2 linked regions of the Arabidopsis thaliana genome follow. The protein of the gene in region 1 interacts with the protein of each later gene in a biochemical or structural test. Each region holds a gene or a part of one and is shown on either strand. Other genes may lie near its edges.

Evidence for each region. Proteins that work in one complex are often made in the same cells at the same time.
Region 2: the proteins of CDKC;1 (region 1) and CYCT1;3 form a complex in vitro, tested with the Arabidopsis thaliana proteins (one study listed by BioGRID).

Annotation. Positions count from the first base shown.
Region 1 is NC_003076.8:3,220,960-3,226,671, forward strand, and holds CDKC;1 (cyclin-dependent kinase C;1), read right to left. Parts: upstream 3,830-5,712; 5' UTR 3,716-3,829; coding exon 3,603-3,715; intron 3,424-3,602; coding exon 3,342-3,423; intron 3,215-3,341; coding exon 3,124-3,214; intron 3,023-3,123; coding exon 2,993-3,022; intron 2,901-2,992; coding exon 2,791-2,900; intron 2,702-2,790; coding exon 2,629-2,701; intron 2,556-2,628; coding exon 2,435-2,555; intron 2,319-2,434; coding exon 2,201-2,318; intron 1,895-2,200; coding exon 1,755-1,894; intron 1,674-1,754; coding exon 1,616-1,673; intron 1,464-1,615; coding exon 1,393-1,463; intron 1,267-1,392; coding exon 756-1,266; 3' UTR 534-755; downstream 1-533. Other genes in the region: RABH1e (RAB GTPase homolog H1E), read left to right, coding at 10-100, 199-342.
Region 2 is NC_003070.9:9,609,432-9,614,879, reverse strand, and holds CYCT1;3 (cyclin T 1;3), read right to left. Parts: upstream 3,828-5,448; 5' UTR 3,670-3,827; intron 3,401-3,669; exon of another isoform or gene 3,332-3,400; 5' UTR 3,234-3,331; coding exon 3,004-3,233; exon of another isoform or gene 2,291-3,003; coding exon 2,209-2,290; intron 1,955-2,208; coding exon 1,820-1,954; intron 1,739-1,819; coding exon 1,566-1,738; intron 1,489-1,565; coding exon 1,343-1,488; intron 1,260-1,342; coding exon of another isoform or gene 1,180-1,259; exon of another isoform or gene 1,101-1,179; coding exon 913-1,100; 3' UTR 544-912; downstream 1-543. Other genes in the region: AT1G27640 (uncharacterized protein), read left to right, coding at 1-417; AT1G27620 (HXXXD-type acyl-transferase family protein), read right to left, coding at 4,448-5,356.

The sequences.
Region 1 (5,712 bases):
ATTTGACAGGCAAGTGTCGATTGAGGAAGGTGATAACAAAGCTCGTGATTATGGAGTAATATTCATTGAGACCAGTGCAAAAGCAGGATTTAACATCAAGGTGAGAGATGCAACTATGCTCTCATTACTCGTTTAAGATCTTGAGATTTCTTGGAATAACGCTTGGCTTTCTTGTTCTGGTGTTTTGGAAACTTGCAGCCACTTTTTCGCAAGATTGCAGCAGCGTTACCAGGAATGGAAACACTTTCTTCAACGAAACAAGAGGATATGGTTGATGTGAATCTAAAGACTTCGAGCAATTCGGCTCAAGGGGAGCAACAACGAGGTGGTTGTGCTTGTTAATCAGTTTTAAATATATACACAGCAGCAGAATAGGAAGATTTTTAAACGAAAGATTCATAATTTTATGGAACAAATAAATCCTGGTATGAGGAAAGGTGATTACACTTGGAGACTCTAGTTTTTCTTTGGAGAGGTTTTGTTTTCAATATAGAGTTGTGTAATAAAGACGTCTGAAAGCTTATGAAGAAGAATGGCATGTTTTGCTCTGTTCTCATTGCTCATTTCTTTTACATCACACACTGTCAGTCTCCATCTTGACATTACTAGAAAATGTTTGGATAACGAAATAAGACTTGGAAAGAATTGGGAAAAGAAAGAGATTCAGTTTCTCATATTAATCTATTATTAGTTTATTACTAGTATCACATTAAATGTAAGAGTAAGATATCAGATCAACAAATCATTAGAGCTCTTTACTGTTGCCATCCGTATTGCTGGTTTCTCTGATTCTGCCCTCTTCCCGAGCTACCAGAGCCACCATACTGACCACCTTGTGTGTAGTTAGGAGGTCCAACCCCGTACGGGCCACCACTAGGCCCTCTAGGACCAGCCACATAAGGAGCTCCACGTCCTTGTGGAGGATATGATCCACTGCTGTAACCTCCTCGGCTTTGATTATAACCCCCGCTCTGGTTTCCGCTAGGAGGGTAGCGGTTTGGACCAGGTGGACCACGCGGCTTCCCATAGAAGTTGTGGCTGGGTCCAGCAGGTACTTGTGGTGGTGCGTTGTTAGTGGGATGGTTTGGACCTGCAGGCCAATGTGGAGCAGCATGAGACTGTCCACCATGTTGTAATGGGGGTAAGCGAGAGTGCTGCAGCGGTGGATGCTGCAGTTTCTGTCTTTTTGCTGCTTCCTCGTTTTGGCGCTGCTGTTGCCGCTTTTTCTTTGTCTGGAACTCATGTGATGATTCATATGTGGGCAGACTGTTGAAATGAAACCTTAATTTAGTCAGAAAAAATTCCCCACGATCGCCTGTCTAATAAGCTAGATGATGATGCACCAGATGAGTTTCATGAACTTTGTCAGAGAAAATCAGAATATACAAATACCTCTTTGGGTCACATGGCAACGGATCAGTCCAAAAGTACTCGGCATCAAGAGCATCCTTTGCCGATATTCTCTACACAGGGGAAAGAAAAAAAGGAGACATTAAATATCTAAATGGTGTTAACAATGTCCTGACTTGAAGAGGTATGTTTCATCCAAAAAACAGTAAAAGACAGTTTTTAAGAAAGATAATTCGCTGGGAATAAGAATAAAGGTCTCTGATACCTGTGCTGGATCAAGCACCAACATTTTCTCCAGTAATTCAAGAGCATGCCGATCAAAGCTGTACAGAAGAGAAAGTAAAGCCAAATGAAATCTTCTGATCAAAGTAAAGCGGAGATATATAATGGTTTACTTTACTTACTGTCTGAAGAACTCTCTTACACGCCTCTTCAAGGGCCGTGCAGGCTTGAAATTGTTGAACCAAGGCATCTTGGAAACCCCAGGCCAAAGTTTTTCATCAGGTGATCCACAAAGCTCAAATATCTTGTTCAATTGTTCTTGCTGAAACAATGTAGGAGATGGCACATATTTTTTTGAGATTATCAATAACATGTATACATAACTGCGTCTATACCATTTTGTATACATGATATAATGCAAAGAACCTAACCAGCCTCCCACGGTCCCAAAATAAAAGTGCCGATAAATCTAATTCTAGTTAATCCCTTAGGTTTTCTACTCCAATGATATCACAATGCAACCAGGAGACCATGTAGATTCTTATATTATTAGTGGCACGAAAGCACACTGTCTTAACATCTGAAATTTTCAAAAGAACTGCGCTTTCAGCAAAGATGAAACGCTGACCTCATTTTTCCCAGGTAAGATTGGTTTTGCATGCAAAAGTTCGGCAAATATGCAACCAACCGACCACATGTCAATTGCTGGGCCATATTTTGTAGCCCCAAGTAGTAATTCAGGGGGCCTGCCGCAATATATGTAAATCAGCAAAGTAGTAATAACAATGAATTAGCAAAGACCATAATATTAAGACTATCTATGTATATCATGTAAACTTTGAATGACGATTTTTAGGCTTACCTATACCACAATGTGATGACACGATTTGTAAGATTTCCAGTATGATCATGAGAATACGACCGTGCAAGCCCAAAATCAGCCAGCTTTAAATTTCCCTCATTGTCGATAAGGAGATTTGAGCCTGGATCAAAATCTAGGTTAATATGCAAGTAAAGGTGATAACCAAACATCAACATTGTATTAAGGAAAATCACCTTTTATATCACGGTGAAGCACTTGATTCACATGACAATAGTGAAGCCCGGTAAGCAATTGCTTCATGTAACACTTTTAAATGGATTGAGTGTTAGAATAAAGTTGAACAATAAGTATGAAAAAGGCTAATAGAAGTAACGAGCTATTTAGCCGTGCAATACCTTAATTTGAGGAACAGTAAATCTCAGTCCAGGACGATCTGCTAGTCCAGTCAAATCATGATCCATGTACTCAAAAACCATGTAGATGCCACCCTTGTATTTGTTATTATCTATAGGTGAAAAAGCCACAACCTTTAGTTAAGAAGAAATCCTCAATAAGCAGAAACTAAGACAGTAGTTGAAATCACTTTTTTTCACAAACCTGGCTTTCCTTGGTCATCCCTGTCCCGACCTTTTAAGAGACAGAACCATTCAAAACACAAAATGTTTAGACCTCTTTATATAGAAATAGCTAACTTAATTCAGTGCAACATATGTGTTCCTTAAACAAACCTGGTGAAGTCACAATCTCTTTCAGCTGAATGACATTTTCATGATGAAGCTTCTTCAGAATCTTTATCTCTCTAATAGCTGTTATAGGAAACTGCATCATACCAGTTGTAAACAATGGGTTACAATTCCTATCGTAAACAAAAACTTGCATCTGTTCTAAACATAGTGAGCATCATAAAAAAAACGTATAGTCCATATAAAGTGAAGAATTCACATACCCCTTCTCTTTCATTGTCCATACGTATCTTTTTGAGAGCCACAATTTCACCAGTTTTGATTTCTTTAGCCATGTAAACTTGACTGCAACAGCAAAACAACAACAATCAAATCTCCTAAAAGCAACACAACATAGGCATTGTAAAAGCCTAATCATACAATCAAAAATCGCTTCAAAGGCCAATAATTTATCAATCCCAAGTAAAAATTAAGCCTTTTGAATAACCAAAGAGTGAAATTGAATTAAAGAGAAAGTGAATAACCCGTAAGTGCCTTCACCAATTTGTTCGAGCTTCTCAAAGCAATCAACGCTGCGAGATCCCCAGATTGGAGGAGGTTCCTCGAGATTTAGCTGCCCGAATGATGCCATCGCCATCTTCGTTCCCGGGAGTCCCACTGTCGAACAATATCTTTTACTCCGATGATCAAATTACGTCTTTCTCGATCGCTTTCCTTTTCTCTCAGACAACTCTCTCTCCGTAGGTTTCCCAGCTTATTTATGTAATTAGCGTTTCGGTTTAAATCTATGAATTGTCCGGTTTGAACCGGTCTAACCCTGAACAAGCGGTTGGTGTAAATTAGCGATCATCCGTTAAATTTAAATAAAATAATGAAAGAAATATCAAATATCATTTTTATTGACCGGTTTTCAAAAATACCACAACAAAAATAATCTTTTCAAAAGTATTTATTAAAATACAAACTCCATTTTTTAAAAATTGGAATTATGGGATTATGTTTCTTATGTATCTTTCTCATCATAAAAGACTTGACAACAAAATTGTTTAACATGCCAATGCCAAGCACACTCACAAGTCACAAAAAAAAAAAACAAATTGCAATTACAAAAATCATACATTAATTGTTCTATAAAGTAAACATTCATACATTTTGATTAATATTTATTTTTCAAGCTTAGATATATTATAAAGAAAGAGAAAAACTAGTGGACACTCGAACGCCCTAGATTTACTGCTCGAGATAAAATTTGATTTTCGTAAATAAAATTGGAGGCGAATTTGAGAAATCCCAAAAATAGCGGGAAAATTAAGAAAATCACTTAGGTTTTCCAGTGGGTTCACCGTCTGTGACAAGAGGTGCGATAGGAACAGATTACTCCTGAAGTGTTAGCGTGCTTATCACGCCATTTAACCGTGTACACGACCATTCTGGTTCAAAGGAAGAACGAGAACATTCGAATCTCGACCAAACCCTAGATCTCGGTTTCTTTACCTACAGGAAGACACGATTCACTATCTCCCTACTCATTGTCAAACCCTAACATCGGCTATTGGTCCTAACTCCTAACTCACCCGATTCAATTTAGGTTTCATGCTAACATCGGTGAAGGACGGTTATTTCGGAAGTTTGATTTTGGTGTGGGTAGGTCTAATTTTGGGTTTTGTGATTTCTAGGAAAATGTTTCTCTATGGTCATTCACTTGAATCAAACCCTATACATAAATCTTCCCTTCTTTTGTTTCGTATGGATGATATTTCTTTTATCTCTTATGAATCATGCTAGGTTTTTTTTCTTGTAACCGATATTAGAGTTCGACTTGGGCGATGGGAAAGATAGATAAGTATCTTAAGTATGTGCTATATATGTTTCTTGAACTTGATCCGTTGATGTTTTGGTTTTGTTTAAGTTTGTTGGTCCACAATGATATGAAAGATATATAGGCTTTTTCTTCTTAGTTTTATGAACTTACTATATATATAGGGAATCTGACTGATGGAAGTTTCAAAATGAACTAATGATAAAATAATGTTAAGACTATATATAAACAATGTTCTCATCCAATCCACTGTCTGTAGAAGAAATTGACTTGCATATTTGGTTCATATTCCACAATGGGGTTGAGATATGATCCTACTTACTGATTTTTCTGTCTGATGGTGTAGTTTTCAAGCTAACCAAAACATTCCTCTTCCAAGCTACTTTCTTCTGTGGGATGATGACTACGTAGTGGAGTTGTTCTACCATCTCCTACTATTCTGGTGATTTCAGTGATATTTTATTCTTGTGTTTCTTAATTCAAGGGAGTGGTCAGCCATTTGTGACTTCTATGTCCAACACGTATAACTATCCCACTTTCTGGTCCATAAATGATGCAAAGCAACACATATTTAAGTCTACATTGGCAATGAGAAGCCTCTGTTACCATGTTTCAGTTTCAAGCTGTAGGAGTTTGCTATCGAAGGTCAGCAACCAGAGTTCAATTCAGGTATCTCATCTCCTCTTGGGGTAGCTAGCAAAACTGCAGGATTCTAAGTTGTAATAATTCTGATGTCTTGTTGTTGTTGTTGTTGTTGAGTGCTGCTTGTTAATGTGTTGATTCACATGTTTGCTTCATGTACAAGAGAGTTTTCC
Region 2 (5,448 bases), on another chromosome or scaffold:
TACAAAAGAAAAGCAGAGATAGAGAAACACACAAAGGAGCCAAATAAACACAGAGACGAAGCAGTGCTCCAAAATAGAGCTGGGAGGCACAGAGACCGAGCCGTAATAGATCACAAAAGCGAAGAAAGAGAGAGAGAAAGCGTACAGAATGTTACAGAGATGAGTGGGATTGAGAGATCTGAGGGTGAGTGGTCGCCGCCGGTGGAAGGAATTACCGACGAGGAGCTGCCGTCTCACTCGCCGATGGATGATCTAGGGTTTGCTTTGTTCGCGAGTTGGGGGAGAAAGACAGAGAGACAGAGAATGGGATCTCCTGACATAAGGATTTATATTTTTAATCCGATAAAAAAGATAATAATAATGGAAACTAGAATCCGGTTTGGTCTAGAATGGAAACCAAGCGGTTTTGGTTCTTGACCGGTTTATACGATCGGTATAAGCTAGGTGTAGTTAATTGAACCGGTTAATTACTTATCCGATCGGTATAAGCTTGATCATATGATGATTGTGTTCGTCTCAAGTCTCAACTCAACACAGACCTAATAGCACTTCATCAAAAACCAAATTACTTAACAATGAGAGAATTAGTCAAAATCAAAACAACTTTAAACTTTTTAAAGAAACCAAAAACATAGATTCCAGATATACAAACGATATAAAGTCAGCTAGTATTATAACATGTGAATGGGACACTTCTATACATAATCTCTCTCTATCGAGAACAGAGACCAAGAATCTCGAGAGAATCCACTTTGGTCATACATGAGACGCTTAACTTAGACAGAAGCACCTCACTCGGATCTCTATATAATGCTACACTGCCTCTCTCATGAGTCTCTACGGAAATCTTTTATTGCTAAACCAACTCAAGACTCTAAGAGAGATTACATCTTCATGCTGCTCAACAATGGCTCACCAGATGCCAGCCTGTCTATAGGACTGCAAAGGGTAGCTGTGAAACGGATAAGCTCTAGCCATATGGACCGGCTTTACGGCTGCAGGTATTGCCCAACTTAACTCTCTTCTTGGAGGTGGAGGTGGAGGTGGCATATTCCTCCTTCTGTCCACTTCTATCAGTGTGCACATCTCCTGGATTACCTCTGTCACCATAATGAAAACATCCAATTATTTTTAATCAACCGCTAAAATCAATAGCAGCACATCTCTTCGTTCAGGCCACTACCTAATTCCAAACTCAATATGTGCACAGGGTAAGAACCTAACATGAGCTGGAGCTACAGTACCACATATTCCTAGCGCTAACATTATAGAAACACTACATCTCACTTGATCAAATGACTGCAATAATACCAGAGGAAAAAATAGAGTTTGAACAGCAAACCTTTTAATAGCTTAGTTGTAACTCCAAACTCCAACCACCAATCTCTCCTGCTGCCTACTTTCGCATTCTGAAACGTAGCAGCTAGGTGCACAGTGGCTGTTGCAATAACATGGGGTTTGTACTGCAAGCATAGTGTGGTTCGAATCCTACACACAATGCATAATAAGATTCAAACTCAATGTAGGGGAAAAATCGGGCAGATATTATTAACAAGGGTCTTTACCAGTCATGCACAAAATTCCATGCAGCTGTTGCAAGGTCAGGCCAAGCGTTCAGTCTATTCAAAGCCGCAGCCAGAGGTTTGTAGGGAAGTTCAATGTCTAAATGGAAAGCACTTGTGCTCAGCAGAAGACTTTCCCCGGACAAAATAATTTCTTTAAATTCATGATAACACTCCTACAGGCAGAGCAACATGTAATAAATTAGCAAAATGCACAGTGCGAATTTACCAATACATAGATGTATGTATACACTTACAGTTTGATGGATTCTAATTGAGGCAGAAGGATCCCACTCATAAATTATTTCATAAGACGCTACAACGACACTGGACAGTTGACATGGCTCATCTTCAGCTTTGCAAGCGAGGAACAGACTGGAAGTCGCTATTGTCTGCAAAATCACCGAGTGAGAAACCGAAGTGGAAATATTTAGCAGCAATCATATACACTTCTAATTAACCAGGAAGACTGAATAACTATTAAATAACCACTTTTGACTTGTTTTCATCAACATTATATTGCTCATAACCCAAATTTTGTAAGAAGAATCAATATATCTGTTGCAGACTATTCAATCATTAATATTTACATGTCAGCTCCAATGAACGCAATTGATGAACCATATGAATACTAAAGCATTCTTACCTGCCAGTCATTTTTTGCATGAGATTGGCGCATGTAAAACCTGTGGCACATCACCATTGCACATGATATTGTAACCTGGGACCTGAAGCAATGAGATTGTCAAAAACCTTTAACATGAACAAGGTCAATGTTATGATATCTCGGGCAGCAACTAATAGCTAGACATCACTTTCACCGAAACCAGCATTTATAAACTTTTCCGACACACGTGAGTAATGCAGAAGACAAAAATACACCAGTACCTATGATTAGATGATTCAAAAAAGTAGGCCGGAGAGAGACGTGCACTTGCTCAGAAAACTAAGAACATCAGTTGGTAAAGGTAGGAACACAGCTGAGGGTTTTGATAACCCAGCAGAGAATTACAAATACAAAGACATATAGATCAGAAGGTCATGTCTAAACAGGTGAACAGCTCCCAAGCAAATTCACAACAGATGCAAATCCTCCCATTGCCGATGAGAAGTGACAAGTGAGTCAATATATGATGCATGGACACCAAATTCTGACTATTATTACATAATTCTTCCATTCACGAGATATAAATGTAGACAAAATCGAGAATCTATAGTTGGAGAACCTCCAGACCACCTCCCACAGTGGCCCTACGACAAAATTCAACAGTTAGGCTATCCATTGTCATGCATTAGGCACCCTCTTTAGCTAAAAAAACGTACCAAGAAATATCAGAAGACAAGGAGACGTCATAAGTAGATTTTCTAGCAAACAACCAAAGAACAAACACTATTTCTTCCTAGATGACAAAACAACAAAGTAATACTATGGTGAGCTTACACATGAAGCTTCATGCCAAGTCTTTGCAGGAAGGTGCAATACGAAGACCGTAAAAACGACTCCTTCACAAGATCAATCCCATCTTTTCTGGATGGAGAGAAACGCTCAATCTCTTCCCTGCTGAAATACCACTTGGAGGTTTCGCATTGAGGGGATTCAAACAACGATACGTTTCTCGCCTCCGCTTCAAAATGTTGTCTAGACCGCTTTCTCGGATGCTCCTCTCCCATTGTAAATCTTCTTCCGCCAAACAATTAACCAAAAAAGTTTCAATCTTTGAACTAACAAGACAAGTCCCAATTTAGCTGCAGATTTTGCTGACAAATATCTGCAAATAGCAAACACAGATTCATTGTTAAATAGCTTTGGGACATAATACGACACAAATCTGATCTCAGCTTCACATATATATTTTTTGACCCATTATCGCAACATCAAGAAATTTCCAACAGATTCTATCAAATCACGAAATATTAAAATCGAGGAGGCGATTAAATTAAATTCACGAAATCTGCAGAAAACAGATCGAATAATTACGAAACGTGAAGGAGGTAAAGGATTAGAGGAGCCGATTGATTCAAGAGATGAGATCAGAGGACAACGAAATCGACTCTAACAAAGGAAGGATTAACGAAATTGGATAGCAAAATTTGAGATTTCACTAACCCAAATTTTGCTTGGTGAGGGAAAAGCTCTTTGAAACTTGAAAATTTTCTCTGCTGCTTTATGTTTGTCTGAAACTTGGGGAAAAGATCTATTGCGGTGTTGCGACCTAAAAAAGATAAATATCTAACTCTATTTATAAAATGGATATGGGCTTTGACTTTATGATTGTAAGCAATTCATCATATTCGATAATGGATATGGGCTTCGAATTAATATATAGTGTCGTTTTTTATGTGGTTGAGATTGAAATGATCAAACTACATAGAAATAGTCTTAACATTATTTGAACTTTTGCAGAAAATAACACTTTAACCAATATATTAGCATTTAGCAATTTGAATCATTGTTAAATTTTTTATTTTCATAAAGCTATAATCTGATAGAGATTACCAAAATTGGATATATATTAATATTTATTTGAATTTTGGCTTCGATTTAAGAACCGTACGTTAAGCTAAAGTTGATGAACTAAACTAAAACATGTATTCCTTTGAATTCATCGATCAGTCAATATCATTATCATACTAGCATGGAGAAAGACTGTTTTTAAACTCATCATATTATCCATTTTGTGTTTAATAAAAACCAATCAAAAATCGACAAGTGAGCTACTCTAGTACTCTCTTTAATTAGTCTTTATTGGGGTTCATATGTCTATTTTCTGTTTTCAAACTTATATATAAGAAAATATTTCGTACATAAAACATATTAAAACCAATCAAAAATCGACAAGTGAAGTACTCTTTTATTATAGACCACTGAAATGTATATAGAAACTTTAGCATGCACGAGAATTCTCATCTTCGTTATCTTTTCCGTCTAAAAACTTAACCATGCAATACTCTAGTCTCTTCACAACTTCCTCCGGCAGGGACATTTGAACTCTGATGGCATCATTATCGCTCGCCACGGGTAAAAATAAACAGTAGATATCACTCGTCAAAGGACCCATATACATTGGCTTTCCTCCTCCCAAGTCCAACTCCTCTAATCCCAATTTCGCCCATTGTGAAATGACCAAACTGCACGAGACGTCCGTTTTCACCGTTTTATCCTCCAGTAAATCTATCGTTGATCTTACATATTCGTCGGTAATTCTTGATTTTGCCTCTTGTATCGATTTTACAGCGTGGTAAATATTACCATTGACTAGGTCTTGTACCTTGCTCTCGGCGCAAGCTAGTACGAATCCATTACCGTAATACCCTTGGGGAAGTTCTGGAGTTAGTCGTTTTCTCATATTGACTGAGAATAAGAGTTTGACCAGCATGGTCATTGGTAAATCTAGAGATTGAGCCCACGAGCGCCAAGTGTTAGCCGCTAGTGCCTCGAACGTGGTGCATTTTAGCGAAGGAGCGCAGGTTTTCTTTAAGCGTAGGAGATGAGATTGGTTGAAGGTTAAGGTGGCAGGAGCCAATGGTTGGGACTGTAAATACTTGGAAATGTCGAAGGTGGAGCTTTTGTCTACGGTGGTGGTTCGGGTGAAACCGGGATGTGAGTGTGTGACACGTGGAGGGTTTCGCGGATCTAATACGTGACGGGAGTGGAATGGTCGGGTCGGAAGATGAGCTTGGCTAGTGGTCGCATGGGCCCATGCATGTAGGAACTGCGATGTGCCAATGCCGTCGCAGAGGCAATGATTGATCGCGGTGCAGAGGATCATACCCCCACAACGGAGATACGTCACCTGAGGCATTAATATTCGTAAGATATCAAAATGTCGATTTATTATTACATTCGACTAGCTTTCAAGCGTTAATAATCAAACTTGCTGATACT